2 linked regions of the Oryzias latipes genome follow. Each later gene encodes a partner of the first gene's protein in a complex. Links are inferred from orthologs where the notes say so. Each region holds a gene or a part of one and is shown in the gene's direction. Other genes may lie near its edges.

Region 1 (3,512 bases):
GAGAGGGCAGACATCCAAAGCATAGAGGCCATGCTTCTTAAGTCGCAACTGCGGTGGGCTGGGCATGTACACAGGATGGAGGACCACCGACTGCCAAGGATCACTCTGTATGGCGAACTTGCATCAGGCCAGCGAGATAAAGGGGCACCAAAAAAGAGATACAAAGACTCTCTTAAGAAATCCCTTGGTGCTTGTAACATCAACCATCGTCAGTGGTCTACTTTGGCAAAAGACCGTGACACCTGGCGCCAGTACATCAAAGACGCTGTCTCCTCTTTTGAAGACAAGCGACGGACTAGGCTAAAAGACAAACGGCAAATGAGAATAGCCGGCCTCACGACTGCACCGAATCCAGAACAGACTTTCACCTGCAGCCTCTGCTACAGGATCTGCCTTTCCCATATTGGATTGCTCAGCCACGAGCGAGCTTGTAGAAGACGTGGACAGCCCTCTTCATAATCTTCGTTTACGAAGCCTCGCCATGATATGCACAGAACATTCTACAATCTGGTTTTTGGTGTGATTTTTAGTGTCGTGTAACACTCCGATTATAAGAAGATCTGATGTTTCATCTGAATTTAGTTTTTAAAAATGGAAGAAAATAGGCAACTAAAACTTTTAATGCAAATCATTTTGACTTGTTTTTTTCTCTCTAGGCCTTTTGTTGAGACTCGAGCTGCCGTCCATGGACTCAACATGCACAGAGAGATCGGTTTCCAGAAGGACAGCCAAGGAGAGTACAAGTCCAGCCAGGCAATCCACATGGACTGTTTAAGGTGTCAACACAAACGACACAGTATCATATTGAACGGTATTTTTAATTATACAGATTTATCACCACTTTCTCCTGTTTCAATGTATCAGGTGGGTAAAAAGAGACAGCTACTTACCCGTGGGGAGTCACAATCTGAAGGCAGCGGCAAAAGCTAAGTTGGGTTATGACCCAGTTGAGCTGGATCCAGAGGAAATGTGCCGAATGGCAACGGAAGAGCCGCAGGTATTTAAAAAAAAAAAAGAACCAGGGAAAGTTTTAAAATTAAATAGATTTTTAATTTCTTTTCTTTTTTCACCATTTTTTCCGCTTTTTTCTCCTCAGACCTTAGCCACATACTCTGTGTCAGACGCAGTGGCCACATACTATTTGTATATGAAATATGTTCACCCCTTCATCTTTGCGCTGTGCACAATCATCCCAATGGAGCCTGATGAGGTCTGTTAGAAGCATTTTCATAAAAGAACTCTTAAATCCAAACATTTAGTTTATTTTACTGATGATTAGTTTTTTTCTGTTTGGGTCTGTTCGCCAACAGGTGCTCCGGAAAGGTTCCGGGACTCTGTGTGAAGCCTTGCTCATGGTGCAGGCCTTTCACGCCAACATCGTGTTCCCCAACAAGCAGGAACAGGCCTTCAACAAGCTGACAGATGACGGCCATGTTTTGGATTCGGAGACCTACGTGGGTGGACACGTGGAGGCGCTGGAGTCGGGAGTGTTTCGCAGCGACATTCCCTGTCGGTTTAAAATGGTACTGTCATGTTTGCTCCACCCCTTTTTGCCAGTTGTCGGCACAGTCCGACTCTTTTAAAACTAACAGTTTGGCTTGACTCGTTGACAGAATCCAGCTGCGTTTGACTTCCTTTTGCAAAGAGTTGAAAGAACTATGCGCCATGCTATCGAGGAGGAGGAGAAAATCCCTCTGGAGCAAGTTACTAATTTCAATGAGGTGTGTTGGCCTTTTGTAGTTGGTGTTCTCTTCATGCTGGTTCGTGCTTTTTAGCCCCGATCACTGTTCTGTCAGGTTTGTGATGAGATCAAAGAGAAGCTGACTTCCTTGAAGGAGGTTCCAAACAGAATTGAATGCCCACTCATCTACCATCTCGACGTCGGAGCGATGTACCCCAACATCATTCTCACAAACCGACTGCAGGTAAAGTTTATATTTAAAAAGTACAAACCGTAAAGCAGTGTGGATTTAAGTTTCACTTCTCTGTGTGAATTTTTCCTAGCCGTCTGCTATGGTAGATGAAGCCACCTGTGCTGCCTGTGACTTTAACAAGCCTGGTGCGACCTGTCAGAGGAGGATGGCCTGGCAGTGGAGAGGGGAAATCAGTAAGCTGTCCATAACTCTGGAAATCAAAAACGATTACTTTATTTTAATGTTTTCATTCTGCCTGCAGTGCCTGCAAGTCGCAGTGAGTTTCACCGCATCCAGCAGCAGCTCGAGTCTGAGAAGCTACCCCCGCTTTTTCCCAACGGCCCCCCCCGGGCCTTTCACACACTCAACCGGGAGGAGCAGGCCAAGCACGAGAAGAAACGTCTGGCGGGTATAGTCCGTCTCTTGCATCTGTTGCTTAAGGTTTCGGTTTTGTGCAGACCCCAAAGCATAAGTGGATGTGTCCTTTCTCTGTGCCAGACTACTGTAAGAAGGCCTATAAGAAGACGCACGTCACCAGGCTGGAGCAACGGGTCACCACCATCTGTCAGAGAGAAAACTCTTTTTATGTCGATACAGTCAGAGCTTTCAGGGACCGGCGGTATGAATTCAAAGGACTTCACAAGGTTTGTTCTCTAAGATAAATCACGTTGAGTTATCTGGACTTTAAATGGTCATAGTTGTGATTTACTCAGTGCTGTATTATTGGCTGTCTAATATATATTTTTTGTTAAAGGTGTGGAAGAAGAAGCTGTCGGCAGCTCAGGACAGCGGAGATGCTGCAGAGGTGAAGCGCTGCAAAAACATGGAGATCCTGTACGAGTCTCTTCAGCTGGCCCATAAGTGCATCCTTAACTCTTTCTATGGTTACGTCATGAGGAAAGGGTAGGGGGTCATTAAACAATAGTCAGATTTGCTTCTGAGATGTTTGCCATCTTAAAGTTGCTGTTTTTGTCTTTCAGGGCACGCTGGTATTCCATGGAGATGGCTGGAATCGTGTGCTACACCGGCGCCAACATCATCACTCAGGCCAGAGAGCTCATTGAACAGATTGGGTGAGTCCCATAGGCATTTACGCAACGTTTCCTTGTGAGAAAGGCGTCACATCCATGTGGGATGATTCTCCACCACTCAGGAGACCCCTTGAGTTGGACACAGATGGCATCTGGTGTGTCCTCCCCAACACCTTTCCTGAGAACTTTGTGGTGAAGACCAGCAACGAGAAGAAGCCCAAGGTGACCATCTCTTACCCGGGAGCCATGCTGAACATCATGGTGAAGGAGGGATTCACTAATGACCAGTACCACGAGCTGGTCGACCCCGCTTCGCTCACGTACAACACCAGAGCAGAAAACAGCATCTTTTTTGAGGTGGACGGGCCGTACCTCGCCATGATCCTGCCTGCTTCTAAAGAGGAAGGCAAGAAGCTGAAGAAGAGGTGAGGCCGCTGTTGCTGCTGAGTTAATGTACAGGTTTGTAAACTGCTCCTTGTTGTAGGGGAGGGTAAAGACAAAAGCACGGATCAAAAGTGACTGATCTTCTCCGTAGGTATGCTGTGTTCAACGAGGACGGCTCTCTGGC
Region 2 (3,992 bases), on another chromosome or scaffold:
AAACATCCGCAGCAAAAGAAAAACATGTGAAAAAAACATTACATCATTTAAAGAAATTATATACATTTCTTTTTTGGTTTTAAATTTAAAAAATGGGAAAAATGAGAAAAGGGGTTTCTGTCCTCGTCATTTATTTTCTTTACAAAAAAAATTAAAAAGGAATAAATCAAGCGAATATATATTTTTAAACATATTTTTAAATTAGACCCCAAAGTTGAGGAGAAGTTATATCTACCTGCAGCCCCCATGTATAGCAATCAAATGCAGTGTCGTTAACAGCCTGCAGGGCGGAGCTCTTCGGAGTGCAAAGTTAAAAAAAACAACTGCAAAGTTTCTTGTTTCTAATATTGGCATTTGAACATATTATCTGTCATTTCCTAAGCATTATTCTATACACAATAATTCTAAAGGAAATAAGAGGCTGCAGAATTGTATTTTGTGTGTCTGAGCAACAGAAAACCAACATTTTTATGTTTATACAATTGAAATTAAAATGGCTAAATACAGTCTGTTTCATTGCAAAACACTTTCCTCTTAAAAAAAGGTAAAGAGTTTAGAGGCAACAGCACAGCAGTTCTGATAAAGTCTTTTTTCTTTTCTTGAGTAAAAAACACATGTTTAAATATAGATGCTCAATAAAATGACCAAAAAAAAGTTAAAGAAATGTCTTCTGACAACATAATTGAAAAATATTTACAGTTTTCATAAAACTTAATTTGCGTTTTCTTTGCAACATTTTAACTTTTTTATTGGGTATGCAAAATTAGGGGCAATGTACAGTAAGGAAACTTTAAATAAAAACAGATTAAATGAAAAAATAAAATACATAATAATCAAAAGAAAAGAGTACCAGATATTTTCAAACCGTTTTTGTCAGGTAGTTTCGGGAGTAATTTTTAAATTTCTCTTTGTTTAGATTGTTGCTTTTAACAGCTTTATATTTAGCTTCACTTTGCTGCCACCTTGTGGACATTTTGTTTATTGGTGTTTTGTTAATTTATTTTTAACCCACTTTTTTCTTTTATCTACTAATCTTAATGAAAAGATTAAATTATATTCACCAAATTTATTTGAAAGAGTCTTACAGCTGATAAACATTTGACTGAGCCACTGAGTTGTCGGTAGTTGGGCGGTAACATTGTTTGAGTGGCAGTCACGTTTGACCAATCATACGGCTTTGTTGTCCAATCTGTCCAATCATTGACTTGAAAGCGTTGGCGGGACCAAAGGAAACTGACCAATAGGGATGCAGTGCCTCTACTAGACCGGAAGCACATGCTGGCGCGCTGCTGTTCGCCTTCGTTTGTTACTTTTATCTTTGTCATGAAGTTAGAAAGCTTAATAAATATCCGCGCGTCTGTTTTTTGATCACTTTTTGGTGGGGGGGAAAATAACTCCCCGTTCAATGGCAGCGCTCGTCTCCTCTACGGAGCAGGAGTCTGACAGGTGCGGGAGTGAGGAGGAGAACCGCGGAGTGGAAGCGGGGGACGGGGGCCAGCAGCAGCAGACGGGTCCCGCCGCACCCGGCGGCAGCCGCCTGTCCAAACTCCCGCTGGCTCGCATCAAAGCCCTGATGAAAACCGACCCAGACGTGTCCCTCGCCAGCCAAGAGTCTGTGTTTATCATCGCCAAAGCCACGGTGAGTCCCTGAACCCGCAGCCCGCTCCGCGAGGAGAAGGTTCGGCCCCGCACGGCACCATGGGATGCTATGATGGTCAGAGGTGATGATGATGATGATGATGATGATGGTGATGTTTCTCTCTTCTTCCTACCAGGAGTTGTTCGTTGAGATGATCGCCAAAGATGCTCTGGTTTACGCCCAGCAAGGGAAGAGGAAAACTCTGCAGAGGAAGGACCTGGGTAAGGCCTGAGGACGCTCCACATCTCTGCATTGTGCTCGATATTTGCCGAACTAGTGAGCATCATTTTCGCAGAGACTTCTGGGAAGTTTCTAGGGCACTGGAGTTTGGAATTGTAGGTTGTGTCCAAATTCCTTCCCTACTCACCAGATAACGCATTCGCCATGTTGTAGTGCTGTCTGAATCTACAATCTCCCAAATCCAGAGTCCTAGAAATTTCCCAGAAGTCTCTGCCAAAAACCAGCGTGCATCAATGCTCACTAGATCAGCGAATATAGACCACAATGCATTGCGTCGGAACGATTTTTGCCAAAAAATGTATTTTTTGTTAAACTATCAACATTTTTATCTTCAGAAGACATAATAAATAATCGTCATAAAACGCTCATATTAATTAGATTTTAACTTTGTGGAATCGATATTTGAAGCAGTGAGCCTGGTCTCCGAATTTCTTTTCAAATCCAGGGCACTACATAGAGCCGCTCTATAGTTTTTTAGTAGTTAGGGGTTAGGGCGGGAATTCAGAAACAACCTATAAATCAAACCAGAGTATAAGTCAAATAATAATGATAAAAAAGAAGAAATAATTATGTAGAAGTCGCACTTTGGGGAGAAATTAATTTAACAAAACACGGTAAAAAATACCAGACATTTCATCTTAAAATAAATAGCAGGTATAGACTGAATATTTACAACTTCACTACTGTAAAAGTATTTAGTTTGATGACAAATAGGAGGAATCTATTCAAATTAGTGAAACATATGAACAGTTGTTCAGATAACCATGACATAAAGAACATGCTAACAAGAGCGGCGTAAGACTGAGCGGCGCTTCTTCACTGTCAGTAACAAACATCTACAGAACACATCTGGCTCCAAACTCTGGATGGCTCCAATATCGCTCGCCATTTCTGTTGCACCGCTCATGCTAGGTTGAGGGGCTGTATGTAAGAGAGTATGTAAACAGAGAACTCTCAGACACGGTTAGGGAATGGGTTGCTATGGCCCAAGGCCCCGCCCACAACTCGCAGGTGAATTTCTACTGAACTCCTGCCACTCTACAGAAAATATGTCCACGAAACAACAAACAAACAAAAAACGGCATCATTATAATTGAAAGACGGTTTTGAAAATGGATCAACAGATGATCGGAGTGGGACAGTAGAATAAACAAATGAACATTAAATTCATTAAAATTCAAACATATTTAGTTTCTTTTTTGTGTTTCATTTGACAAACTTCAGTGGTTTCTCCTCCTGAGTTTCATTCGTTTGTTGTTGTTTTGTTGTCCCTGCAGACAACGCAATAGAGGCCGTAGACGAGTTTGCATTTCTTGAAGGTAAAAAAACCCACGTTCTTTCTGCACATGCATGTTACTGACAGCGTGTGCACAGGAACATTTCATTGACATGTTTGTGCATCCGGTAACTGTATCATTTTTTTCTCTGCAGGCACGCTGGACTAGAGACGACCGGCTTGACGGGCGGCGCGAGCGAGCGAGCGACTTCCTCCGGTCCGTTTGTGCAGAGACAAAAAGCTCTTCTGCTTAAGGACTCGTACATATGTACACTGTTGTGTAAATATTTTTGCTAAATTCACTGAAATAAATGCGTTTGAAACTACCGGTTTATTTCTAAAGTCATTCCTTGCTGCATTGTGGGTAAGGTTGGTTGCCAGCATCTTAAAATACATTTAGAATCGTTTTGATTAATAAAGTTTGAAGGAATTAAATTCTTGAACATTTTATAAAAAGAAAAGAAAACAACAGGTTTGTATTTTCAGACAGTCACAACATGATTCTGATTCATTTCCTTGATAAGTTTGTGTTTTCGGAAAGAAACAACTAAAAACTTCCTAAAAGGGTTCAAATCTAAACTGTAAACACCTAAACCTTTATGTTTTATGGACGCTGGATCCTTGGATGCCAGTACTTTATATTAGCTATTGTGAGTCGAAAGTATATTTGGGCTGAGAACATACATGTTTATGTGAAATAAACAGGCCGTCATAGTTTTTGACTTCAGAGTAAAGTCCTGAAATATTGGAATATTTGTTTTTAAAATGGGAATTGGTTCATTTCAAGGAAACAAAAACTTAAGAAAACACACAAAATGATAGATATAGATAAAACTA

Evidence for each region. Proteins that work in one complex are often made in the same cells at the same time.
Region 2: pole (region 1) and pole4 share a complex: the UniProt entries of both Homo sapiens proteins name them as parts of the DNA polymerase epsilon complex. The link is inferred for Oryzias latipes from reciprocal best matches to the Homo sapiens genes POLE and POLE4.

Annotation. Positions count from the first base shown.
Region 1 is NC_019867.2:13,286,108-13,289,619, forward strand, and holds part of pole (DNA polymerase epsilon catalytic subunit A), read left to right. Parts: intron 1-656; coding exon 657-776; intron 777-864; coding exon 865-997; intron 998-1,096; coding exon 1,097-1,210; intron 1,211-1,310; coding exon 1,311-1,523; intron 1,524-1,613; coding exon 1,614-1,721; intron 1,722-1,796; coding exon 1,797-1,925; intron 1,926-2,004; coding exon 2,005-2,107; intron 2,108-2,175; coding exon 2,176-2,322; intron 2,323-2,411; coding exon 2,412-2,557; intron 2,558-2,667; coding exon 2,668-2,816; intron 2,817-2,893; coding exon 2,894-2,986; intron 2,987-3,066; coding exon 3,067-3,369; intron 3,370-3,479; coding exon 3,480-3,512. UniProt on the Homo sapiens protein: Catalytic component of the DNA polymerase epsilon complex. Participates in chromosomal DNA replication.
Region 2 is NC_019862.2:30,739,983-30,743,974, reverse strand, and holds pole4 (DNA polymerase epsilon subunit 4), read left to right. Parts: upstream 1-1,233; 5' UTR 1,234-1,405; coding exon 1,406-1,639; intron 1,640-1,775; coding exon 1,776-1,860; intron 1,861-3,156; coding exon 3,157-3,198; intron 3,199-3,310; coding exon 3,311-3,324; 3' UTR 3,325-3,481; downstream 3,482-3,992. UniProt on the Homo sapiens protein: Accessory component of the DNA polymerase epsilon complex. Participates in DNA repair and in chromosomal DNA replication.